2 linked regions of the Arabidopsis thaliana genome follow. The protein of the gene in region 2 interacts with the protein of the main gene of each other region in a pairwise test. Each region holds a gene or a part of one and is shown on either strand. Other genes may lie near its edges.

Region 1 (5,032 bases), on a different chromosome or scaffold from region 2:
AGAGAGAGAGAGAGAGTTTTAACCTTTGTAACATCTTCAGAAAGTTTAATCCGAGGCTGATTGTTTATCTCCACAAGTTTGAAAACGCAACCTAAGGCCGCTTGTGAATAGCAAGTGACCAAGTAGGTCCCGATGCCAAAAGCATCCACCTCATGTCCCTATAGAGATGAAAGAAAAAACACTGCTTAATAATAATCAATCTTTCGGGGGCATGGCATTTGAGAGTGGGTTAGGGAGTCACCTGTTTATTTAAAGCGTCAATCGTCTCTTCATTTAGATCATTACTAGCAGTGACGACCATCTTCCCAAAACCAGGCACTTTTAGTTCTCTCTCTACCGTGCAGAAGAAATTTCTGGCCTCTCTAGATAGATAAGCTAAATCACCTGAATCCAGTCTAATACCTAATGCTTTATATCTGCGCAGCACAATAAACATCAATTGCATCTCAAATTCCATATGATCCTGAAGAAGTACAAAGTCAAGTCAGACGATCGGGTATTGATAAGAGATTCTTACACACCCAAAGTCATTGAGTGCTAAAGCAACTGCACAGAAGTTAGGGATTCCACTCTTCATCACCTGTAAAACAGTCAGCAAAACACTAATATAAGAGTTTATTAGAAATCCTAAGGCTCAAATGAGCTATCTACTATGGTGTTTAATGCTCACATCGTATGTATCTACGAGGGCAAGAAAAGTTTTGGGGAATGCCAGTGCATATGAGGTGAAAGCTGCTAGCTCGCTTTGATTTGTCTCAGAGAAAATGCCACTTAGAGATGGTGAATACTGTCATCCACAAAGAAACAAAACATAAGAAAAACTGTGACAAAGATTCAAGCAAAGGGTTGAAGCAGAAATAGAACAATGGTCCTGAGACTAGAAAACAGGAAGAGGAAGAGCAAAATGTGCAATAAACAAACCTGAATCTTTTTTAACCATGTCTGAACATGACTAACAAAATCCTCGCACGTGGTTTTCCCATCAGCACTACGAAGTACTTTGTCAACAATCTCATCAGTACTCTGCAATCCAAAGTTAACTAATTATATCGAAAATGCTTTTGTGATATTGTTATGAGCGAGGATATTAAGTGTGCATCAGAACCATGGCTAATAAAGTTATAGCAACAAAGGCATTGACAAGAATATCTTATTTTCACGAAACTTTGTGTTATCGTCTCTACTAGCTAACTCAAGTATGTAACCTCCACATAAAAATTGAAACTTTTGGCTGAAGTGAACTGACCATGAATGAGCTAACATAAGCATGAGAGTGTGTTCCACGAAGAGGAATCCCAAAAAGTTTTCCAGCTGCTACATTACTGTCATTGGCAAAATACCCAACAACACAAAACACATCATTTCCACATTCCCTTTCACCTACTTCCAGATCAACAAAAACAAAAAGCAAGACTTGCCTTGTTGCATCAAAACCTCCAAGGTAGCAATATTTTGATGCGCTTATTGCACCATCCGGACCCTAAGATTCCAACACTAATAACATCAGACAGAGATGGAAAGAACAACACAAAAGGCAATATATCAAAAAACAAGAGAGAGATTTATAGGAAACCTGAGCCCTTCGAGCACCAAACTCGAGTAGACTCTTAGATTTTCCGGCAACAAAGCGATGCCTAGCTGCGTTAGTAGCTACCAAAGATGCAAAATTGACAAGATTGAGGAATGGAGTTTCCAACAATTGAACAACCTATGGAGATTTTACAACAACTGATGAATCATTCATTCAAGAAAACTATTCCTTAAACAATCTTCACAAATGAAAGAGACAAAGAGACTCACACCAACAGGTCCTTCAACTCTCATGAGAGGTACTTTAGGAAAAACAACTGATCCTTCCGGAATTGCATAAACTTCAACATCAGAACAATCAAGCCCTCTAAGATAATCACAAAAAGCTTCCTAATTTGAATCACAAACATAAAACCCTGATTTAAAAATCCAAACTTTAATCAATAACAATCTAAAAACAAACAGATTTTTGATATACCTCAGATCCAGGCAAACACTCTTGAACGAAATCGATTTCTTCATCAGTCAATTTGAAATTGGCTAAGAACTTAACACACTCTTCTAATCCAGCAAACACAGTGTACTCACCACCAAATGGGTTCTTACGAAAATACAGATCGAAACTGAAAAGGAAACAAAAACAATTTCAAATATACAAAACCATTCAGAATTCAACATCAAAAGCAGAGCATGAGAAGAGATTGTGTGTTGTACACGGATCGTTCGTTGTGTTTGCCAGCTTTCCAATAAGCATAAGCCATGGTGAATTGATAAAGATCATTGAGTAAAGGTGTGACCATTGGATTCGTTGGTCCGTCAATGATCTTCTGACCCAATTCTGAGCCGTTCTCTTTCGGCTCCATTGTCGTCGCTTCCAATTTGTGTGGAACAATTGGCTTCGTATGAGTGAGTGTGTGTGTGATTACGAGAGAGTGAATGGACGAGGAACACTGGTTCTTGGTTGTTTATATTGGAGTGGTCAAAGGAAAAAGAAAAAAACAAGTGTGTTTAAAGAAAGAGACGACGACCACCACACAAAGCAAAACTTGCTTTGAACTTGACCTAGTCTTTCTTTAAGAGCCTTTATTGGTTTCTAATTATTTCTCATTTTAGAGTTTAGACTAAAACGAGGTTTAATTTTCGTGGTTGTTGGCTCTTAGATTATTGGAATTTTCACGTTTAAAAGAATTTTATGTGTTGAAAATTGGCATATGGTAGCCAAATTCAACTAATTATAATAATTACTCAGAAAAATTTACATATTGGTATTGGTAACAAATAACAATATCTTGTATCTCTAATAAATTAATGAAAAGAGTTTAGCTGTTTTAATCTAAAAAACTTAAATTACAGAGGCGGGGAATTTTTTCATTTCAAATACATTTTTTTGGTGTGATTTATTTCACATACATAATTCGGAAAACTTGTATAGCGTAAATCTATTGATTAATAATGGTACACACTTGCTGTGTTATGATATATTTGTGTATTTAATGATTTTAGTTTATTGACTATTTTTAATGTGCAATATTAATGATTTTTAGCTCTTTTGCAATCAAATATGCAGTATGATATTTGATTAGTAGTAAATATTTACATTTCACATATATGTTATAGTATTTGATGAATATTGTACTTATAATATATAATATTTGTTAACATTAAAATAGAAAAGGTTAATGTAGATTAATACATCTTAAAACTTCAGTTTCTTAAAATATATAAATATTGTAAAAATGTTCAGATGCTTATTATGGAAAAACAAAACAAAACAGAATTGCATAACACCAAAAATTTTAAACATGATTATGAAAAAATCAATCCAAATTTAGGTACATTTATTTATCAAAGTTTAATTTTACATCAAACAATAGTATCTAAAATGAATTAAAATGAACTCAAACTTAAGACTAAACATAAGATTGTCCCAACTTGGTTTTTGAAGCCATATCGCATATGGCCTAACCATATTCATGGTCTCTTTTATTTGTCAGTGTCATGATATGAGTATCACAATTTGATAGGGTTCTCTTGAAGTTGTTGATTAAAAATAATCAAAACAAATAATTCTGGAGAGAGCCTCCTACGTGGCAGTCAGTGGTTGGTTGATATATTTAACCAACAAAAAATCCTTGTGTCTTTATTTTTCATTCCGTCGGGAAATTTTCTCACTCTCTCTATTGGTCGTCTCTCTCGACGCTGCTCACCATTCCGAGTTCGTTTCACCAAATCGATGACCCAATTCTATATGTGTTTGTCCCAAATCCAATCTCCCACCAAACCCTTGCTTCGTTCCCTCGAATCAGAGCATTGTCAGATAGGAAGATGACTAAGCTTTGATTGATTTAGTTGTGTAGATGATTTGGTTCTTTAGAAAACGAAGAAGTTATCTGATTGATCTGTTTCGTTTTATTGTTTGTTGCATGGGGATCAGTGTTGTTGATTTGGATCCCATAAGAACCAGCTTTTGCTTGGGTACAGTCATTCTAGTAATCTAGTCTGTTCTCTTGGGTTATTAATATTTTCTTCAGTTTGCATTATTAGCGAGAGGAAGTCTACATATGTGTTTGATTGATTCGTAATGCTGGTTATCGTTAACACCTTTATATGGTTTTAAAATCAGGTGATCGTGTGCCCACTAAGTTGAAGAAAGCCATCATGCAAGCCCGAGAAGACAAGAAGCTGACTCAGTCCCAACTTGCTCAAGTATTTTCTCTTTTCTCTGTATCTATCTCTTTCTTTTGTTGCTTTTTCTTAGTAATTGGCTTCATGATGGTTATGTTGTATGTTTTGAGTCATTGGCTTCATAGATGTACAAGACTAGGAGTTTGTTTTGTTGGCGTTATGTATTTTGGTGATAGACTCTGTAACTATGGAACACATATAGCTCATGATTTGGTGATAGTAATTCGCTTCATAGTTAAATGTATCTCTAATTTGATGATAGTAATTGGCTTCTAATTTGAGTGAGTCATGCAGATTCAAGCCAAACAAAAAAAAAAAAATTATAAGAATTTTAATTTGTTGATGAGTAGAGGAACAAAAACCTTTTAATTTTTGAATAACACTAGATTTGATATGGTTTTTAAGAAAAACAAAAATCTTCTAAAATCCCTAATCCAATACATCCCCCTAAATGTTTTGGTTTACTAATTTTGTTTTAATTAGCTCATAATTTATGACAAAATTATATATTTAACTAAACATTATAATATTTATTTCACATCTATTTTATAATATTTCCAAAAAATGTATTTTAATATTTTATGCTTTGTAATATTAAGTTGTATGAAATAAAATAATTTATATGAATATTTTTTTTTTAAGAGACCTCCTTTAAGAGAACCTACCATTGGAGTATAAAAAACCAAGAAATAATACACAAAGTTCTCTTGTTAGTTTTTTGAAAATTTAATCATAAAAAAATGGAGAGAGCCATTGGCATAAAAATCTAGCTAGCTAGAAACTTTTGTATGATATCACTAAAACACAAAACGTTAAA
Region 2 (5,032 bases):
AGCTATACTAGACGAGCCAACCAGAGACCATTTGGCTGTAGAAATTTCCCTAGTTGAAGAAAACTATTGGATTTGACTTGCCAAGATCTAAAATTGCACAAAGTCAATCTTTTTCCTGAAAATGACAATTTGTTGCTCATGAAGGGATGTTTGAGTTCCAGTAGCCAAGTATCAATCAGCAATGTATATTTCCCAATCCCATCACAAGTTTTATAGATCAGTCTTTAATTTTCACGGCTAAACCCGAGTATCAGACCATCCTGCATCATTGTTTACCAGAATCAATAAACGGCATATCCCCATATATAACAACATTTGAATTTTACCAAATGTCGACCTCGGATATTCCGTGGAGATCAATCACGTACCTGAGGCTTTTGCATATTTGGTGTTGGGGGATAACCCACGCATTCATTACGATAAGCATAAAGTAGCACATCTCAAATTGTCTCAAACCAACCAAGCACAAGGTTTCCATAGGGATCAACATATCAAAAGGAGAGAGAGCACTTTAGGAACATAGTCGACTCTTGAGTTTAGGGCCAAAATAGAGAACACATCTTCTTTCTCGAGCTATCCAAATACATTGAAGAAAATAGACCATCAAGCGTAACTTTGACTTGACACGAGCTGAAAGCAGAAACCTTCAACTTCTTTAACTGCAAAAGAAGATATAAAGCGACTTCAACAAAAGTCTTACCAGAACTTAACTTTGAAGGGATACAATAGAAAAAGTTAAAATAACAGAATGCATACATACCCTTTGGAGTAGAATTCTAGTGGAAACCACCAGCTCTGGGGCGGTCATATGGAGCACGACTGTGCCTCTCACCTCCTGGAGCTCCACGGCTGCCACCATCCCGGCTGCGTCCTCCAGCGCGTTCACCACTGCGATCAGGTCCATAGCGACTACCTCCACCATCCCTACTACCATACCTATCATCCTTGGAGCTGTACCTATCATCCTTGGAGCTGTACCTATCATCCTTTGCACCATACCTATCCTCCTTTGCACCATACCTATCATCTTTTGCACCATACCTATCGTCCTTCGAACTGTACCTATCATCCTTTGAGCTGAACCTTCCACCACCATCTCTACTACTTTCAGAAGGACACTCTCTTGCAAAATGTCCAGGCTTGCCACATTTAAAGCAATCTCCACCACCTCGCCCACCAGAGGGACGACTGCGATCACGATCATATCCACGGTCTCGACCACGGTCACCATCATTATCTCTGCCTGCACCACCCTGATGAGGCTGAGCTTTATCAACAGTGATAGTTCGCCCATCCAAATCCATTCCATTCATTGCTGCAATAGCTTCATCCATAGCTTTTTTCTCATCGAAAGTGATGAATCCAAAACCACGGGAGCGACCAGAAAACTTGTCAAGAACCACCTGTGTATCAATAGATAAGGTTTATCTCTCATAATAGTTATGGCAATAAAAATAAGGTAGTAAGATAAATTTCAAATAAAATTATCAAACAGACAACACTACAAACAGATTTGCAAAGAGCAAGAAAATGAACAAATCACTCAAAGCTTCAATGTCTCAGCAATCAGAAGAGCTGATAGCCACTAAAAGAAGTCAGTTACTAAACAGACACGCCTCACCATAAACAGAGTTGCAGAAAGCAAACAAATTACAAAACATATCAAAGCTTCAGTGTTTGAATCTGAAGGCGAAACAGAACAAAGCTTCTAAGTTTCAGTAACCAGAAGAACAGAGAGCCACTGAGGAAAGAGAGATAAAAAATTTACCTTGGCCTCAACGAGGTGACCATACTTCTCAAAGGCATCTCTGAGACCACGATCAGACGTTGTCCAAGCAAGCCCACCAATGAAGCAACGGTACTCCGGATCTTCAGACATCTTCTAAAACAAACAGCCAAAAGTGTTTTTGAACAACGTTAATATGACTTGACTCCCAGAAAAACCAAACACACGCAGCAGATCCAGAAGATATACACAGCTACAACACAATAATTAAGCGTGAAGCAAATCTGAACTCGTTTCTCTAAACATGGTTCGCGCTTACGAGACAAATCCACGAAGGTAATTTCAATTGATCTCTACTCGCAAACAACATATCTACAAATCGTAATTGCGCGATGGTAAACCCTAGAAACTTCAAATCAGAATCGGTACAAAGATGACGAGACATGCAAGCGAATCGATACTTCGGTATAAACAAAGTATAAGAAACGAGAAATCATTACCAGAGAGTACGAGATCTGCTCGTAATTTGAGACGGAACCCTAATTTCTGAGAAGAGGAGAAGCTGCAGAGAAACTTTGGCAGAACACACAAGACACAAGTGAAAGCAAACGACGCGATATATCTCGTATTCGACAGCTAACGGGGTAATTTCGTCATTTAAGTACAAGTGGGCCTGAATAAATGGGCTTTATTGGGCCCATGTATAAGGGTTTTGAAGAAAAGGTTTTAGTCGCCGTCGTTCTTCGTTTCTTCCTTCTCCGTCTTCGTCTTCTTTCTCAGTTCTGTTGTCAAATTAGGGTTTTCGTTTCAGGGGAAAGAGAGAGAGAGAGAGATGTGGTTTCTGTGTGTCTTCTATCACAGGCTATTAGACTTCAGAAAGCCAGAAGTGGAAGCTTTAGCTGAACTCTTCGGAGAAGAGATTGCAGAGAATGAGTCTCTCCAATGGCGTCTACCTGAAAATCACCATAACGATACTCCATTCCATTTCGTTCAACTTTCATCTGAAGAAATCGCTCGTAACATTGCTAAACGAAGCATATTGGTGAAAGGAATGTATGAGCTTTGGGGTGAAGGAACTTGTTATGAAGAGCTTAAAGACTCGATTCAAAGCTACCCTGATTCTCGAAAGCTTCCATTTCTCACTTCTGATTCAACTTTTAGAATCTCTGTTGAAACTTTTGGAAAGGCTTTAACTTTTGACGAGCAGAAAGATCGAATCCAGTCGTTTACTTATATACCATTTGAGGTCTGATTCCACTTTCTTGTTTCAATCTCTTTTGGTGTTTATCTTCATTGTTTTGATTCTTTGGTGATTTGGTTGTTGCAGGGTCGTGTTAACTTGAAGAACCCAGATCATAACTTTTTTCTAATGGAAATGATTGAATCTGAAGAGAACAATGGACTTCAACCTATTCTACAGAGAAGGATATTTTTTGGGAGGGAGGTTGGTTTTGCTGATAGGAAGCTTTTACCTACATTTCAGTTGAAATCTCGTACTTACCTTGGTCCAACTGCTATGGATGCTGAAATGGCTTTCTTAATGGCTAATCAAGCGAAAGCTACTTCGGGAAAACTTGTGTATGATCCTTTTGTTGGTACTGGGAGCATTCTTGTTTCTGCTGCACGCTTTGGCGCAATGACAATGGTTTGCAACCTTTCCCTTAGTTTATTGATTTCCTTTTGTGGTTTCTGAATCTCGAACTGATAAAAGAGTTGTTGTATTAGGGTGCAGATATCGATATCAGAGTAGTGCGTGATGGACGTGGTCCAGATTGTAATGTTTGGAGCAATTTCAAACAGGTTAGTATGAGTGTGTGACTTCTATTGTTATGTTTCTTTCGATATCACTGGTTCTTACATCTGTTAATACTTATGCAGTATGGATTACCAATGCCGGTAGCTTTACTTAGAATGGATAATAACGTTCCTCCTTGGCGATCGGGGCTAAAGGAGGTAATGCTCTATATCTCAGTTCTTTCATTATTATCTTTGGTATATTGAGTAGAGAGATCACTGAGTTTATGTCTTATGTATCTATTGGTCCAGATCTTTGATGCAATTATCTGCGATCCACCTTACGGGGTTCGTGCTGGTGGACGTAAATCCGGTGGTAGGAAAATCCTTAGAGGAACAGTGGATCCTTACACTGTCCCTGATGACAAAAGAACAGATCACATTCCATCCACTGGTGCATATAGTCTAGTGGAGTGTGTTCATGATCTACTTCATCTTGCTGCAAGAATGTTGGTGATGAAAGGCAGGCTCGTCTTTTTCTTCCCGGTTTTGAGAGATGAGACTGGCAGCGAGGTTAAGTTCCCGGAGCACCCGTGTTTCAAGTTAGTAGCTGTATCTGAACAGATCCTGAGCTCGCGGTACAGTCGGGTTCTGCTAACGATGGTGAAAGTAGAGCCTTATAGTGAAGAGGTTGAAGAAGCTGCTCGTTTAATGCATTTAGAGTTTAGAGAGAATCATCTTAAGTGGTTAGAGGATGGTAATATTCACTCCTCTATATTCAAACCCATTGATTCTTCTCAGATTGACACTGATTCCAAAGCCTTCAAAGATCCAAAACCTAAGTATAGAGGGAAGTATGTGTAAGCAATTAGTTTTGTGTTTTTTTCTTCTTGTTGTATGCTAAACAATTTCGTTTTTGTCTTTCTTGTTGTTCCAATACAAATAGGGTTACTGGCAAATAATTGTGTTAACAAAATACATCAAAAGGAGATGAGAGACTCCAGGAATAGCTACAAAAAATATAACAATCAACATTCGAAAATGTCTAACAATATAATAACAAGAAGAGACACATTCTCTTGAGACACGCCTTCGCTGAGTAGAGAAGACCAAAACGAAACAACAAAGCTCCGATTCCGAAGATGGACCAACAAAAAAAGAACAAAGATTAGGGTTTTTTATGAATATTTTATTAATGAAATTAACGCTGCTCTAAGTCTTCTTCAAAATCTGGGAACTGTGTAGTAGTAGTTAAAGATATCCCACATTTGGTTGTTCTTCGTTTTCTTCTTACCATCCTTCCCTAGAGGAAGACCTGTCGAAAACCCGAGATTTAGAAATTAGTATAACATCGATTCACCAAATTTGGTTAAACTTAAAGATATGATGAGCCTAAATGCATCTATTGTACCAACTGCATAAATCTCTAGACTTCTAAAGAGATTTAGTCATTTAGATACTAATCCCCGGGACTAACCTGTTGCTGAAGAATCCGCGCTCTTTGGTTCCTTGAAAGTTTCTTCGCTGCTCATTGGCTGGTCTAACCCAGGCATCGACGGCACCACGTGATCT

What was found. Proteins that work in one complex are often made in the same cells at the same time.
Region 1: the proteins of ATRZ-1A (region 2) and NAPRT2 interact in a two-hybrid assay, tested with the Arabidopsis thaliana proteins (one large-scale study listed by BioGRID).

Annotation. Positions count from the first base shown.
Region 1 is NC_003071.7:9,969,180-9,974,211, reverse strand, and holds the start of NAPRT2 (nicotinate phosphoribosyltransferase 2), read right to left. Parts: upstream 2,610-5,032; 5' UTR 2,394-2,609; coding exon 2,245-2,393; intron 2,154-2,244; coding exon 2,009-2,153; intron 1,921-2,008; coding exon 1,801-1,920; intron 1,709-1,800; coding exon 1,574-1,708; intron 1,481-1,573; coding exon 1,419-1,480; intron 1,323-1,418; coding exon 1,247-1,322; intron 1,024-1,246; coding exon 922-1,023; intron 788-921; coding exon 671-787; intron 581-670; coding exon 522-580; intron 417-521; coding exon 242-416; intron 159-241; coding exon 24-158; intron 1-23. UniProt on the Arabidopsis thaliana protein: Catalyzes the first step in the biosynthesis of NAD from nicotinic acid, the ATP-dependent synthesis of beta-nicotinate D-ribonucleotide from nicotinate and 5-phospho-D-ribose 1-phosphate.
Region 2 is NC_003074.8:9,668,800-9,673,831, reverse strand, and holds the start of ATRZ-1A (RNA-binding (RRM/RBD/RNP motifs) family protein with retrovirus zinc finger-like domain-containing protein), read right to left. Parts: upstream 2,316-5,032; 5' UTR 2,227-2,315; intron 1,883-2,226; 5' UTR 1,880-1,882; coding exon 1,769-1,879; intron 1,404-1,768; coding exon 777-1,403; 3' UTR 761-776; intron 660-760; 3' UTR 369-659; intron 261-368; 3' UTR 1-260. Other genes in the region: TRM11 (tRNA modification 11 protein), read left to right, coding at 2,559-2,972, 3,054-3,371, 3,452-3,526, 3,605-3,679, 3,773-4,324; EIF4B1 (eukaryotic translation initiation factor 4B1), read right to left, coding at 4,751-4,775, 4,938-5,032.